Linked DNA regions of Elephas maximus indicus. The protein of the gene in region 1 interacts with the protein of each later gene in a pairwise test. Links are inferred from orthologs where the notes say so. Each region holds a gene or a part of one and is shown in the gene's direction. Other genes may lie near its edges.

Region 1 (7,691 bases):
CCCCCTGCACCCTAGAGCTATCCGTGTTCTAGCTAACTAGAAGGGAAGGAGATGAAAGCCTAGCAATAATTCCTTCCTCAACCCAGGTCCCTCTTTGAAGGCCACCCTCATTTCCTCAGGCCTCCTCTCCTCCCCTAGACTCACTCATCATCTTAGGCATTCCTCCATGGAGTCATCTTATGGGCTCAGATTCTAGATTCTCCTATTTTCCAGGTCCCTGCAGGCACTGCAGGGTCATAAGGAGAACAGCCCAGCTGGGGGCCAGCCTAATGTCAGAGACATTGCTTTAGGTGTACAAAGTAGTTCCTTAAAAAATTGCTTCTATCCTCTGTACAAGGGCAATGGAGGAAAAAAGCCTTTCTTTGAATGTGCCTGCCTGCCGGCCTCCCTGGCAGCCTGGGGGAGGGTTACAAGGCTCAGGATGCTGAACCATAGGAAAGAAATGTTCATAACCAGTGGCAATATGTTCCAGGCCAGGACTACTCCAGGAGTGCACGAGTGTGGGAATGAAACTGCTCAGAGTAGTTTTCTTCCACAGCTGTTTTAGGATTGCACATTCTAGACCAACCTTATCCAGTATTTTTTCTGTGTCTTAGCTTTTAAATTCTTTTGTTAAGCCCCCAAGCGAGAATTGGCCCTACAGGGATCCATGTGGCAGACACTAGATGCTCTTTGGCCAAGGCCTTGGTAATGACTCAGTCATCCCATTGCCTATCCCTTAGCCCTACCCCAGATAAGACCATGGCAGGGGAGGAAACTGAAGTCAAGACTAACCAACTTTATGTATTAAAGCTGTTATTTTTCCTCTGAGGGCATTTTGCATTAGATCTGGGCTATGTGCAGAACCAAAACTGGCTTTGAGAGTTACTGACTTAAATTTGGGGCCCAGACACTCTGGGAGAGAGGTTTGCATAGTATGCTATAAAGGTTTTGGGCCTACCTGGCTACTTCTGGGCCAGCCTGACTTCTTATGTCCACATTAGCACTACCTGAACCCCTCTGTTGAAAGCTAGCCCTACTCCCCTAAGCGGGTCAGATTTTCAGCCCCTGGGCTTAGGGAGAGAAAACTGTCTGCATGCTCTGGGGCAGTAAAGGAAGGCATACCTAAGAGGCCCTGAGACTGACTAGGAACCTCTGCCTCAGAGGATGTCCTTAGCATCCTCAGGCCCTGGAGTTGGGTATTGGCTTCTTTATCCAGCTTTTGTGGAAACTGCCTTTGATTTTATCACTAGAGAAGGAAAAGGAGGTATAGGACCCCAACCATCCAGCAAAGCAGATGTCCCCCAAAACAGGTTGGTTCCCAGCTACAGACCCTAGAAAGGTGAATCCAGCCCTTCTCCTCCTTACTGGTATTTCTTTCCTAATTCATTTGTTTTTATTTTTCCAAGAACCATAAACTCTCTGGCTATTTTCCATGTTCTCAGGGCCCCTGGGTAGACAGACACAGCTTGATGATTTTAGAGCAGACATAGGCCAAGAAACCATGGCATTGAGTGTGCTGAGTCCAGACAAATGATATTTATATACACATCCAAATTTGAAGAGAAATGTATTTCTTTAGGTTTCAAACACTGTAATAATAGATATAAAGCAAAAAATAAAAACCTGTTGCAAAGTTCTAAATCGTCTCTTTTGGTTTGGAGTGAACCTAGGCTGGATTATTTGGAGGTGAATGAGGAAAGGGTATTTAAACTTGTTAGTCTAATAGAAATAAAAATCGCTGCAGCCTGCTCCTGCTATAAAAGGTTTGTTTTGTTTTTTTTAACAACTTTATTGACGTATAATTGACATACAATAAACTACACCTATTTAAAGTGTACAATTTGATAATTTTTTATATACATGCACTCGTGAAACCATCACCACAATTAAGATAGTGAATATACCCGTCACCCCCATAAGTTTCACTGTGCCCCAGCACTAACCTGCATTCTATAGTCATTATAGATCAGTTCGCATTTTCTAGAGTTGCTATAAAGGATCTTGACATTGTTTCGAGTCTTACAAGCTAACTGAATATTGTCCCCATTTTGCCAGTGAAGAAATGTTCTCATAAAAGTTGAGGTCATACAGTTCACAAACTCCTCACTTCAGCTTAGAGCAATTCCTAACACAAATTAGACAAGAAGCCAACAATTTGATTTCGCCCAAAAGGAAGGTCTTATTTGGCTGATAGTGAGTTTTAAGTTTTAATTAGTTAACAACATTAAAAAATCAAGAAATAGCTGTCTTGAAAAACACTGAATATCTGGCATAACTGGGCCTAAGTTTCTGCTTGGCAACAATCTGCAAGGACCTCTCTACCGTAATCACTACCATACTAGTTGTCTCCCTGACTCATTGCCATATTTCTTTTATACCTGAGAAAGTGACTTTTTAAACCCATGTTTCTATTTTTCTTGTTCCGTGGTGCCTGCTCTATCTACTCTTATTACCCGTCTGGTCCCTGGAGGCCAGTGTTGACCTTTCTGCTATACCCTCCACCCCTCACTCCATTTAAGCCTGTTCTTATTTTCTTTTTCCTAGAACTTCAAGGCCTTATTGATAATGTAACCTCCTCAAGGGATTTCTAACATGCTTTTCCGGAAATGAGGCCTTCATTTCAAGAGACCTGGATTCCAAATCCTAGCTTCTCAGTTCCTTCATCACACAATTATACCGTATTGCCTCTCAGTGTTACCTGGTAAAGGCAAACCTTGATGTCTGGAGCCACTAAACAGAGCTCTCTGCCCTATGGTCTCCTTAACTTTTGGGGGAAATACTTAACATCTTAACAGCCCCCAAACAATGCTCAATTTGAACAACTTAAAACCATTCTCTGCCTTCACCAAGTGCTAGCCTTTGGGACAAGAGAATTTAGCTAACAATTCCCCACAGTATTCTTTGACTTGCAAGCAAATAGTATCAACACCTTGGTGATAACGCTGTAATAGAACTCTATCTAGACGTAGGGAGCTAGGACAGATTGCAGAGCATTGGGAAGGCTCTAAAGAGGCTTTTGAGCTGGGCCTCAAAAGAGGAAATAGGATCTGCAAAAACCTGAGAAATGCTGGAAAGAGTAAAAGTACAGTTGAAGCAAAAACGAGAGTGGGGATGGGGAGGATTGGCTGAAAACAGAAGAAGCCAAATCGTCTAGGCTTTCAGCTCCAGGCGCAAGGATTATTGGCCTTTATTCCATTATCTGTAGGTAGCAGGGATAACGAATTGTGATTCCATATTTGGAGAGAAGCTTGGGGTTCCCCCCCCCCAGCTTTAGCCCCAGTGCCACTGGGACTTTGTCAGTCTAGTCAGATGGTGTGATGAAGTGGCCTGCGTAGGGTTGGCCTGTCAGAGAAAAAGGCTTGGGAATCTTTGTCTGAGGCCAAGCTCTCCCTGCAGGGTGTCCTCAGCCCTTTCCAAAGAGACTAGTTGCCACACTGGTGATGGAAAAAAAAAAAATGTTGCTTTCGAGTCAACTCGGACTCATAGCGACCCTATAGGACACAGGAGAACTGCCGACTTTTTTGGTTAGCAGCTCTTAACCACTAGGCCACCAGGGTTTCCAACTGGTGATGAGGAGTGGGAAAAAAATAAGTCACCTCGACTCATCCTAAGGGAAAGCATGGCAGAGTAGTTAGTACGGTGGCCTGGTGCCAGACTTCCTGGTTTTGAATCCCTGCTCTAACCACTCTTTAGCAGTGTGACCTTAGACAAGTTATCTAACCTTTGCCTTACTGTTCTCATGAGGAAATGGGAAATAACAATAGTACTTGTCTCGATGAGTAGTTATGAGGATTAACCATATGGCAGGCACCCAATAACCTGTTATTGCTATTATTAAAAGCCTCCATTTGAAAAAAGGAAATTGAGGCCCAGAGAGAGAAAAGAATGCCCAGTCATACTACAAATCAGTGATGACGTCAGAACTGGAATACAGGTCTCTCGACTCAAGAATCCATCGCTCGTCGAGAGGCCTCAGAGTCCCCCAGATACTAAAAATAAGAGGCATAGAATTTCACAATGTGGGGTGAGAGGGTGGTGGCGTGCAGGAAAGAATAGCCAGGAGCAAAGCCTGGGTACTGAATCACAGCTTCTGAATGATAATGAGGTTACTCTAGGTATTTATGCATAGTAACTGGCTCCTTCCGGACCTACAGGGTACCCGGCTGCCAGAACGAAGCCCTTTCCCTTGCATCTTGGGAGTTGTGGACAGCTAGCCCCGATGCATGGAGGGACATGTAGTCCCTTCCCTCCCCCGCCTTCCCAATTACCCGCCTCAAAGGCCGCCATCGCCTCAGCTTTCCCAGCAAGCTTCGCGAGAGCGCGGGCTATTGATTGGCTGCGACGAGAGCGGGCCGCTCTGCCGAAAGCGGTTGCCCAGGGTTTCCGGTGCGCGGCCAGAGCGGGTGAAGCCGTCGGTACGTCGGCGGCGAGGTACGTGCTGCTGCAGCTAGCGGGACGAGACGATCAGGGTGCTCCCTGTATGCCTGGATACTTTCGGCAAGTGGGGGCAGTCGCGCCGATTTCGTGCGTGGGCTAGGGCGGGGAGGCGGGTTATGGCCTTGCGCATGCGCGCGCGCGGCTGGAGGGCGCGCGGGGCGTGGGTGGCTGCGCGCGCGCGCGCTCGCGGAGCCCACGTGAGTCCTAGGGGCGGGGGGGAGGGTTCGGGAATAGAGCATCCCGCCACGTCAGTCTTCGGCCCTGAGCCAATCCCGCGCTCGGCCTGTCGTGAGGGGGCCGTGTTGTGCCGGGAAGTGGCTTCGGCAGGAGGGAGGCCTCTGTCCTCGCCCGTTCTAGGAGTAGCGCCCCGAAAACCAGCCTGGGCACGCCAGGCTCCCCTGACCGGGCAGAGACCGGGAGAACCGTTAGCTCCCCCCGGTAGAGGCCAACCAGTTTGTTTTTGTTTTGAGAAGCTTTGTGCGCCTGGCATTGGGCGGCGAAGATTTTCGAAGTCTGGAAAATAGCAACTGTGTTTCTTTCTGAAGGATTTGCTCTTAATCTAGCCTTGCAAACCACAATGAAGAACCAAGACAAAAAGAATGGGGCTGCCAAGCCATCAGGCAACACTTCCAACCCAAAAAGCAACCCAGGGCAACCGGAAGCGGGACCAGAGGGAGCTCAGGGGCGGCCCAGCCAGGCTGCTCCTGCAACCGAAGCTGAAGATTCCACCACCCAGGCCCCGGGGAAGCCTGAGGGTGTGTGCCAGCTTTGCTTTTCCATCGGGCAGGGGGAGGAGTTTGTGGTACTCCTGCTTAGCTGCTGGAGTTTGAAGCCGAGGCCAGCAGTTTACCCAGGGAAGAGGAAATGTAGAATGAGAGGAGGACAGTGCAGAGTCTGTGTGATTCCCCACCCTTTCCGGGGGAGTTGATATAGCCTCCTGCTCCAAACACGAGCAGAACCCTCTTTAGAGAAGGCTGACAGGATTAAACCAGGTGGCAGTCAAATGAGAGGCCTGACTAGCAAATCCTCGTCCCTTTAGGAGACACTTCAGTCACCAGTGGGTAACTGCCATCCATACTTGAGGTGTTTCTGGAACTTGTTTAATAGTAAGGAACAGCTTTTGAGGGGAGGAGATTAGAAGTTGAGTTCATGCTAAGTGCTTAGTCCATGTTGAATGCTTTACATACCTTTATACTCACAGCAAACCTTATTGGGTGGTGGTGAGGGATAGTTACACCATTTATAGGGAAATGAACTGAGCTTTAAAGAGATTAGGCAATGTTTAACCCAACCCGGTGAGTCTGGCTGAGCCTGAAGAGCCCCAACCAGTGATATAACCATCTCATTTCTCACTGTGCACCTCATCCTATTCTGTTGTAGGGGCTCAAGCCAAAACTGCTCAGTCTGGGGCCCTCCGTGATGTGTCCGAGGAGCTGAGCCGCCAGCTGGAAGACATCTTGAGTACTTACTGTGTGGACAACAATCAGGGGGGCCCAGGTGAGGATGGGGCACAGAGTGAGCCCGCCGAACCTGAAGATGCAGAGAAGTCCCGGAGCTATGCTGCAAGGAATGGGGAGCCTGAGCCAGGGACCCCAGTAGTCAATGGTGAAAAGGAGACTTCCAAGGGGGAGCCAGGCACAGAGGAGATCCGGGCGAGTGACGAAGGCGGAGACCGAGACCACCGGAGGCCACAGGAGAAGAAGAAAGCCAAGGGGCTGGGTGAGCAGAGGATAGCTACTTAGTTTAACCAGAGCCAGCTGTGTGGGGCCACAACATAGAAATGTTCAGGTCATTCACTGCACAAGGGCACCTGGCTTCAGAAGCAAGTGGGGCTGAAATCTAGCCTGCTTGCTCTTTGAGAAAATGGAGAGCAGGAGACTTGGTGGGCTCCCGTGCCAGCCAGCACCACAGTGTGACCTTGGGCAAGTCCCTCCCCTGTCTGGGCCTTAGTTTCCAGTTCTTTTTAGTAAGAGAACTAGACTAGACCAGGATCAAAAGCTCAAATGTCCCCATAAACCAAGCTAACCAGGGGACCCATGTGGATCAAGAGAATGCCTGTTTCATCCAAAGGTTGACTGCCACCTGGTCCCAGCTAATTGATAGCAGCCAAAGCTGCAGGCTTACTGCAGCCAGTTTTTTTTTTTTTTTTTTAACTGTTGGCAACTAAAACACTAGGAGCCAAGCAAAACCCGTTTATGGGCTGGATTTGGCCTGTGTGCCAGTGACTTGCAGCCTGTACACCCAACTCTTGGAGACTCCCAAGACTGACACTCAGGAGCCTGGTGCTGTTCTGTGCAAGGTGGCCCCCAGGGAGGGAGCAGTGAACTCTCTGACTCAGGTGCAGGCAGCGGGGAAAGGTAGTGACTGACAGGCTATTAAAGGATCGAGGTTGGGTGATGTTATACCTGTGCCCTACTCCCTACTTTCCTACCCTCAGCTGTTGCCCTAATTTGAAGAGAGAGTATTTATTTTAAAAAATCTTAGACTTGAGAAACTAACTTTAGCTGTGAACTTTCATTTAAAGCACATACAAAAAAGAGATTTTCGAATCACGTATGTGGAAGATATACTCGTTTTATACTCATTCACTATTTGGCTACCTGTTGACAGGAAATTTTCAGTGCATTCTCAGGGAGGCCAGAGACTTAGCTTTCTTGGATCCTTCCTCTTTTGGAAAGGCCCTCCTTGCATTGAAACAGTAGCACTGAACTCCAAGGTGGGACACCTTTCATCTGGTGATAGAGCAGGCCATTTTTCTCTCCCACCGGTGGTGCCCACCAAGATTCCACAGGTGCCCAGTTGTTCAGCGGTTGAGCATGTGCCCTGTGACAGGCACTAGGGAGAGTCCTGGGGCCCTCACGAAGCATGTAGTCTAGCAGGGAAGGCAGCCAGTTTGACGAGCAGAAATATAAAGTAGGGTAGGGGAGGGCTGTATTAAGGTTCAAGAGTGTGGGCCCAGGCCTGGAGGGGCTTGGGGCCTCCCAGAGAAGTGTGTGCACACCTTTGCTCTCTGCTTTGCAGGAAAGGAGATCACACTGCTGATGCAGACATTGAATACGCTGAGTACCCCAGAGGAGAAGCTGGCAGCGCTGTGCAAGAAGTATGCTGAACTGGTCAGTCCCCAAACTGCCCCTCATACCCTCCCTGCCTTTGGAAAGTCAGCAGGCCCCCTGGACTGGGGCTGCAGTGCAGAGGCAGATGGGTGGCTTAATTCCTGTTCACCCTCTGAGTCTTTTGTCCAACCTTTAAGTAGAGAGTCAGGTCCCATCCGG
Region 2 (7,702 bases), on another chromosome or scaffold:
TGGCCTGGATAAGATTTATTCCCTCATCAAGTCTCTGCTTACATGTCATCTCCTCAGGAAACTCTTTCCTCATTATCTAAAATTAAATTTTTTTGTTTACTTCTTTACGGTATGTCTCTCTGGAGTAGAATGTCAAAATTGTTCACCACTGGTCCCCAGTTCTTAGAATGACATTTACCAGAGATTCAATAAATATTTGTTGAATGAATGATGTAGGCACAGAAACTCACTAATCTGTTAACTTCATCTACTGAGACTGATAAGAAACAAAAAGAAGCCAAATACAGGTTTGTTCATCCACTAAATATTTATTTAGTAGCTTTCAGGTCTCAGCCAATACTCTTGAGAACTCACAGCCCTGACTGGAAAGACAGACACATAAGCATGTGATTACCCCATAATAACGAAAGCATCTATTATAATTGTGGCAGGAATAAGGTGCAATAAATACAAAGATGAAAAAAAGAGTATAAATCTATAGGAAACCTTCACAGTAGAAGAGACTCTTGAATCTTTTTCAAGGATTAATGAGTCTTAAAATAAATATCATATAGTTCATGCATTTTACTTAAGAAAAGGGAAAGGAGCATCTACCATATGCTGGGGCACTTTACATCTCATTTAATTCTCACTATTTTTTTTTTTTTGCTCTATATTGTTATTCCTGTTTCACAGATGTGGAATTCCAAGTTAAGGGAGGTCAAGTAACTTGCTCAAGATTACATAGTACATTAATGTTGTATCTCGTTGAGTTGATTTCAACTCATAGTGACTCTATAAGACAACTGCCCCACACGGTTTCCAGGGCTGTAATCTTTACAGAAGCAGATTGACACATCTTTCTCCTGCAGAGCAGTTGGTGGCTTCGATCTGCTAACCGAAAAGTTAGCAGCCGAGTACTTAACCATGGTGCCACCAGGGTTCCTTAGTACAATAAAAAAAACAAACAAAAAAAAACCTATTGCCATCAAGTTGATTCTGACTCACAGCGAAAGTAGCAGAATTTGAGACTAGGTATGTCTGACTCTGGAAACCCTGGTGGTGCAGTGGTTAAGTGCTACGGCTGCTAACCAAAGGTAAGCAGTTCAAATCCGCCAGGCGCTCCTTGGAAACTCTATGGGGCAGTTCTGCTCTGTCCTATAGGGTCACTATGAGTTGGAATCGACTCGACGGCACTGGGCTTGGTTTGGTTTTTGGTATGTCTGACTCTAGTACCCATTAAAAAAAAAAATTACTGTTTAGTCATTTCTCACTAATGGCAACCCCATGTGTGTCAGAGTAGAACTGTGCTCCATAGGGTTTTCAATGGCTGATTTTTCAGAAACAGACTGCCAGGCCTTTCTTCAGGGGCTCCTTTGGGTAGGCTCCAACCTCCAACCTTTCGTTTAGCAGCCGAGCTTGTTGACAGTTTCCACCACCCAGGGACTCTGGTACTCACTTACCACTACATATCACAGATCTTTGGCCCTGTACTCCCTTCAGAACCTACATATTTCTATTTTCCAAATAACTCTTAACAAAACTGATTATCTGGTTTCCCAGCCTAATAATATAAATATGCGGGAAAATGATTCAGGAAAAGACCAAAGTGAAGTATGCAGACAGAAAGAGAAGGCACTGAAAAACTTTAAAAATTCAAAAAATATATCAAGATGGCATTTCTCAGTGTAGGGTCATACAGTCCTATACACCCCACCTTCTGTTTTACAACAGTGCTTGGTGTGCATCATGATGAGCCCATTACAAAAAAAAAAAAAAGGTTGTTTCATCACTACAGTCTAGGGCCAGAGAAATAACTTTTGATGCCTAAGAGGGTAGACTTTAGGTATCTAGAAAATTAATTTCTCTGTGGTACCTCTGGACAAATAAATTACAATGATTGTTTCCAAATTGTTCTTGGGAAGAAATATTCCAAGATCTACATAGAGTCTTAATTTTATGGAAATGATTATTTTTCTGCTGCTTTAAACTAAATTCAAGCCAGTATAGAAAACTGTTCATCTTAGTTTACATATAACCAAAAACCAAACCCACTGCTGTTGAGTCGATTCTGACACATAGCGACCCTATAGGACTGAGTAGAGCTGCCCCATAGAGTTTCCAAGGAGCGCCTGGTGGATTCGAACTGCTGACCTTTTGGTTAGCAGCCGTAGCACTTAACCACACACCACCAGGGCTTCCTAGTTTACATATATCCAAGTAAATTATAAATTTAAAAAATTTTTCATAGTATGACTTTGAAGAACACCTGTGGATTAAGTAACTTATAGATTGACAAACATATATAAACAACATTACCGAACATTCTTAGTATCTAAAGGCAACCTTTTGCAAAAAAAAATTCTAATAAATAATGTACGAAATGGGGAAAACTAAATATTTTTAATCTGCTGCACTCACAATTTAAATAAATATGTATGTGAAAAATAAACAAAACATGCAGGCAAATACAGAGAAAGTTGGCTGAGTAATTTACCATAAAAGTGTTCCCATCATATATCCTGCCTGGGTTTTGAATTCCTTTATAACATGGGCTTTAATTTTTTTTTTATATAATTCTTTTTAAAAAAGGAAAGCTTACATTTAGAGAACACACCCTGTGTTTTGTTTGTTTTGTTTTTAAGAACAAGAGAAAATTGTTTCAGCAATTATCCTGAACAAGCAGACTAGGAAACATTGAATATCCTCTTATCATTTTGAAGGTTTTTATATGGGACACTTCCCACCCAGAACACTGTTTGTAACAATGGGAAAAGTACACTGGCTCTGCTTCACAACAACGTGAAAAAGTTAATATCAGGAAAAGCCAAGTCTTTACTTGCAATTAACTGTAACTATCACACACACAAAATTTTTTTTTATCACATATATTTGAGGAATGCAGTTTCTGCCTAAAACTCTCTAGAAAGACAATACTTTGTTTACTTATATTTGAAAATTGCTTTTTACTTTAGTTCATTTTTTTCCAATTTTAACCCAAAACTCTATTTTAAGATGATTAGAGTTTACATCATGACGACGTATTAGAAGTAAACACAAAGTGAATAACTGCAAGTAAAATTTTGGTGTACTAGATAGACGGCATTATTTATAAAGCTTTCCTTACCTGGACGCTCTTCAGAATAAACTCACTTTTCTCTCTTACATCTTTAAAAGGACACCTCTTAGAAAGCATGAGCAGATGAGCAAGAAGTTTATTCAACCCATCCGAAGAAACAGCATTTGAAAGCTCGTGTGACGGACGATGTGGTGTCTCTTTAACGGAACGAAAATACTCGGTTTTCCTCAAAATTATTTGCCTAATGTTTTCCAGTGCTATCTCTCTGGTACTTGAATCTCTACTGCACAGTCCATCCCATCTCATTTCATTCTCTCCTTCAGCCATGTCAACTTGGAGCTTTTCTTTTTCAATCTTCAGTTACCTTTCACCATGTCTGCAAAAGCAGTTTTTATTTTTTAAATCAGAAATGTAAGAGTAAAATCAGAGAAATCGAATCGTCAAGAAAACGCACGTTCGGGTGACATTTGGAACCGGTTGTCTCTTATACGGATGATTTCCACCGAGTTACAAAACAGAGCTCACCCTCTGGTTCTACACTGGTCAAAGACTGAAGGGAAAAAAAGTTGGAAGGTTGCAACCTTACGGCGCTGGCTGTGCTGGAGAGGGACTCTCGGGGAAGTGCTGTCCTTCGTCTCGCGGGGTCAGCGGATATCCTCACGACGTGGAGCTGTCAAATCCGTGCTATGCCCAGAAAGGCTGGTACCAGTTGAACACTCTCCAGTCATTCGGGGGTTTTTGTCAGTGCAGGCACGGCGGTCACCGGAGCGTTCCCACCCCGCCTCTCCGGCACCAGTCCCCGCCCTCCGCAGCTCCTCCTTGTGCCCCAGCGGCCCGCTGACCGCCAGCGGGGACGACTCGCCGAGCCCTGGCCCACGGGCCGCGGCGGTCGGAGACTTGAGCGCTCCAGGGGGCGGGTGTCTTCTGCAGATGCAGTCTCCGAGGCAGTACTGGAGGAGAGCGCCCTCGGCCCCGCCGATTCCCGACCCTCAGGAAGACGCCGCTTCTTCTCCGATCCCTGCGCCCTTGCCCACCGCCCGCCAAGCCAGACCAGCACAGGGTTGCCCCGCACCGGGCTGGGCCGCAGAGCTGGCGGTGCGGCAGAGCCCCAGGCACAGAACCCGCCCCTTCGTCCAGCCCCATCGGTGGGGATCGGCCCAAAGGGCGGGAGCAAGGAGGGGAGATGGGGTCCTCACCCCCAGCCCCTCCCCTTTCTCCGCCCGGCACAAACCAGGAGCCGCCCCTGCCCCTGCGCCCTCTTCCCCGCCCAGGCAGACGCGACCCGCGAAGGCAAAAAAAAGCCATTGGAAAAAGCCCCGCCCTTCGCCCTGCTACCTCCGGACCCCAAGCCCGCGCGCGGCCGCCAACGGCTGCCGGTTCTTACGCATGCGTAACCTCAAGGACGGTGCATGCGCCTTAAAGGCACTTAGCTTCTTCACGGTTCGTTTTCTGTTGTCAGACGTTTGGTGTTGGAGTGGAGAAAGGGGAAAAAATTAAGTACGCTGAAACTTTATCAAAGACAAGCAGGGTAAAGAAAGACGACACGGAGCACTCCTGGAAGAAACAGGCTAAATTTAAGATTTGTCTAAAAATAGTAACGGCCTCTTTATTAGCCCGAACCCCGATTTAAGGAGGCAGGGTGTCCTCGCGTTGACTTCTGGGAAACGTAGTTTTTATTCTGCGGGTGTTTTGTTTGCGACAGAAACTACAACCCCCAGGGACCACCGCGACTTTGCCTGTGGCGGCCTACAAGCCAACGGTTAGGCAGCGCGGATTGACTGGATCGTCGGCTTGGTGAGCACTGTAGGCTTGGCTGCTTTCTTTCCTGGCTTTCTTTGACAAGATTTTTTTTTTTTCTTCCTCCTTTTTCCTCTGGGGTTTTGGAGACGAAGCCATCCAAGGCTGCTGCTCAGACAGTCCAGGGACTTTTTCCAGTGACCTGAGTAAGAAGTACTAGTCCAGGTGTCTAAGCTCCTGCGCGTGGTGAGGCGAGAATTTGGAGGTCGCGATCCCGAAGTTGGGAGTGAGCGGCCTTCTTTAAGATGCAAAAAGGATGAAATGAAAACGGATGCTCCGCGCAGCTGTCCCTGCGTTTGCCCTCTGTAGTGAACATGCGCGGGATGAATCAGACACCCCCGTGCAATTGAGCGGAAACCCTGGTGGCGTAGTAGTTAAGTGCTACGGCTGCTGTCCTAGAGGTCGGCAGTTCGAATCCACCGGGCGCTCCTTGGAAACTCTATGGGGCAGTTCTACTCTGTCCTGTAGGGTCGCTATGGGTCGGAATCGACTCGATGGCAATGGGTTTGGTTTTGGGTGCATTCGAGCCTAAGCTTACCTCTGTGTAGAGATAGTCTTCAAATGAATCCCAAGTAGGGCATTGAAAGCGACTTGTGAAATCCGTTTCGAATGAGACTAAAAGAAAAACAATCTCCAACATTCGTAGATGATAAGAATTCTTGCAGGCTTTAACGAGACCATATGGGGGGAAAAAAGACCATATTTAAAAAGTCATGCCACTTGAGAAAAGTCGGGGTTTGAAAGCCCATCAATGAACTGATAAGATTAGAATTAATTTTTCACGTTGCAGAACAGATCCAGTTCTAAAAATTTAACATTGTAGGCACGGTCTAAACAGTGAAAGAGACACAGTCCCTACCTAAACAAAAACAGAACTATGTAATAGTGTTATCTTTGGAGTGTCTAGAAAGAGGGCCACCCAGCCAAGTCTTGGAAGTCGAAAACCAAACCAAACCCACTGCTGTTGAAACGATTCTGACTCATAGCGACCCCATAGGGATAGGGTTTCTGAGGCTGTACATCTCTACGGAAACCAACTGCCACATCATTCTTCCAAGCTGCTGCTGGTGGTTTCCAACCTCTGGCCTTTGGGTTAGCAGCCGATGGCTTTAACCACTGCGCCACCAAGGTGCAGTGGAGTCTCTTTCCCAGGGGAATTGGGGGCCAAAGAAAGAGCATATGCTGAAGCCCAGAAGCGAGAGAGGTATGGAACTTTAAAGAAACTGCAATAAGCCAAATCACATAATTTGGGAGGGATGGCTTTTTGTATATTGATATATTTTGAAGCTGCAGAAAGACAGGTACTGTAAAATTTTCAGGTAGTTTCTCAAAGTGACCAATGAGTTGGTGTAATTTGGCAAGCCTGGAAGGATTCTAATGCTACTGGTTTAAATCAGAATAAAAATGGTTATAGCTATTATTTTAAGTGTGATTTTAAAAACAAAAAAACATTGCTTTTTTTGTGGGCTCATCCTTCTTTACCCAGCCCACAAAGGGTAAGGTGGTTTCTCAAGGCTAGCTTCCCTTTTCACTCCATAGTTGAATATGATCTCAACCATATGCATGGATTCACCAGTACCTATTTATTGCAGATGACGTCCAAATGTTTTTGGTTTTTGGTTTCCAAATGTATAGCTCCATCCAGGTTCACCTCTCAGCTTTCGTATATCCAGTTATCTCCTTAATATTTTTTCTCACGTATCTTAAAAGCACTTCAAACTCAGCATGCTTAAAACCAAATACACAGTTATTCCCTGTGAATCTGGTTTCCTTCCAGTGTTCCCTATCTTAGTAAAGGCCACTACCATCCATTCACTTGTGAAAATTTGAAAGCTAAGCATCATCCTTCATTCCTTCCTGTTGTTCATATCTCTATAGCGAAATTGTTAGCAAGTTCTGTCAATCTTATCTTCCAGATATCCCTCAAATCCACCCATTTCTCTCTGCTTTCAAAAAAACCAAACCCAGTGCTGTCGAGTCATTTCTGACTCAGAGAGACCCTATAGGACAGAGTAGAACTGCCCCGTAGAGTTTCCAAGGAACCCCTGGCAGATTTGAACTGCCTTCCCTATCTGCTTTAGCACCATCCAAATACTTGTTGAATACCTACTATATAACAGGACCCAGGGAATATAGCTCTGACAGCAGCAGAGTGTAGTGGCCTAGAAGCCAAGTGAAAGTGTTTGCCTTCTGCCAGAGAGCTTGCATTCTACTAGGGAGAGACAGACAATACATAAATATGTGAATGTATAGTGAATCAAATGAAGAAGACAAATGCTTTGAAGAAAAAACTTGAGAAGGGGAATAGGGAGTGTTGGGTTGTGGGGGTGGGGCTCACTTTTAAATAAGGTAATCAGAGAAGACCTAACCAAGAAGGAGGCATCTGAGGGGATCTGAAGATGCTAGGGGGAAGAACATTCAGGTGAAGAGAACAGCCAATGCAAAGGCCTGTGGGCAGGAGCATGCCTACACATTTGAGTTGTTAGCTGCCATGGAGTCAGCCCAGACTCATGGAAACCCCATGCATGACAGAACAAAACACTCGGTCCTGCATCATATCCATCATCAGTTGTGGATTGAACCATCATGATCTGTGGGGTTTTTATTGGCTGGTTTTCAGAAGTAGATTGGCAGGCCATTCTTCCTAGTTCATCTTAATCAGAAAGCTCCACGGAAACGTGTTCAGCATCATAGCAACACATAAGCCTCCACAGACAGACTGATGGTGGCTATGCATGAGGTGCATTGGCTGGAAATAGGATCAAGTCTTCTGCATGGAAGGTGAGAATTCTGCCACTGAACCATCAATGCCCCTTCCTCATGCACATTTGAGAAAGGAGACAAATG

The links.
Region 2: the proteins of TXLNA (region 1) and CEP57L1 interact in binary tests that used the Homo sapiens proteins (3 or more experiments, as listed by UniProt). The two-hybrid records come from large-scale screens. The link is inferred for Elephas maximus indicus from reciprocal best matches to the Homo sapiens genes TXLNA and CEP57L1.

Annotation. Positions count from the first base shown.
Region 1 is NC_064821.1:73,088,281-73,095,971, forward strand, and holds the start of TXLNA (alpha-taxilin), read left to right. Parts: upstream 1-4,307; 5' UTR 4,308-4,413; exon of another isoform or gene 4,414-4,479; intron 4,480-4,964; 5' UTR 4,965-4,996; coding exon 4,997-5,174; intron 5,175-5,799; coding exon 5,800-6,138; intron 6,139-7,440; coding exon 7,441-7,532; intron 7,533-7,691. UniProt on the Homo sapiens protein: May be involved in intracellular vesicle traffic and potentially in calcium-dependent exocytosis in neuroendocrine cells.
Region 2 is NC_064819.1:174,987,436-174,995,137, forward strand, and holds the start of CEP57L1 (centrosomal protein CEP57L1), read left to right. Parts: upstream 1-4,501; 5' UTR 4,502-4,852; exon of another isoform or gene 4,853-6,059; intron 6,060-7,702. Other genes in the region: SESN1 (sestrin-1), read right to left, coding at 3,107-3,385. UniProt on the Homo sapiens protein: Centrosomal protein which may be required for microtubule attachment to centrosomes.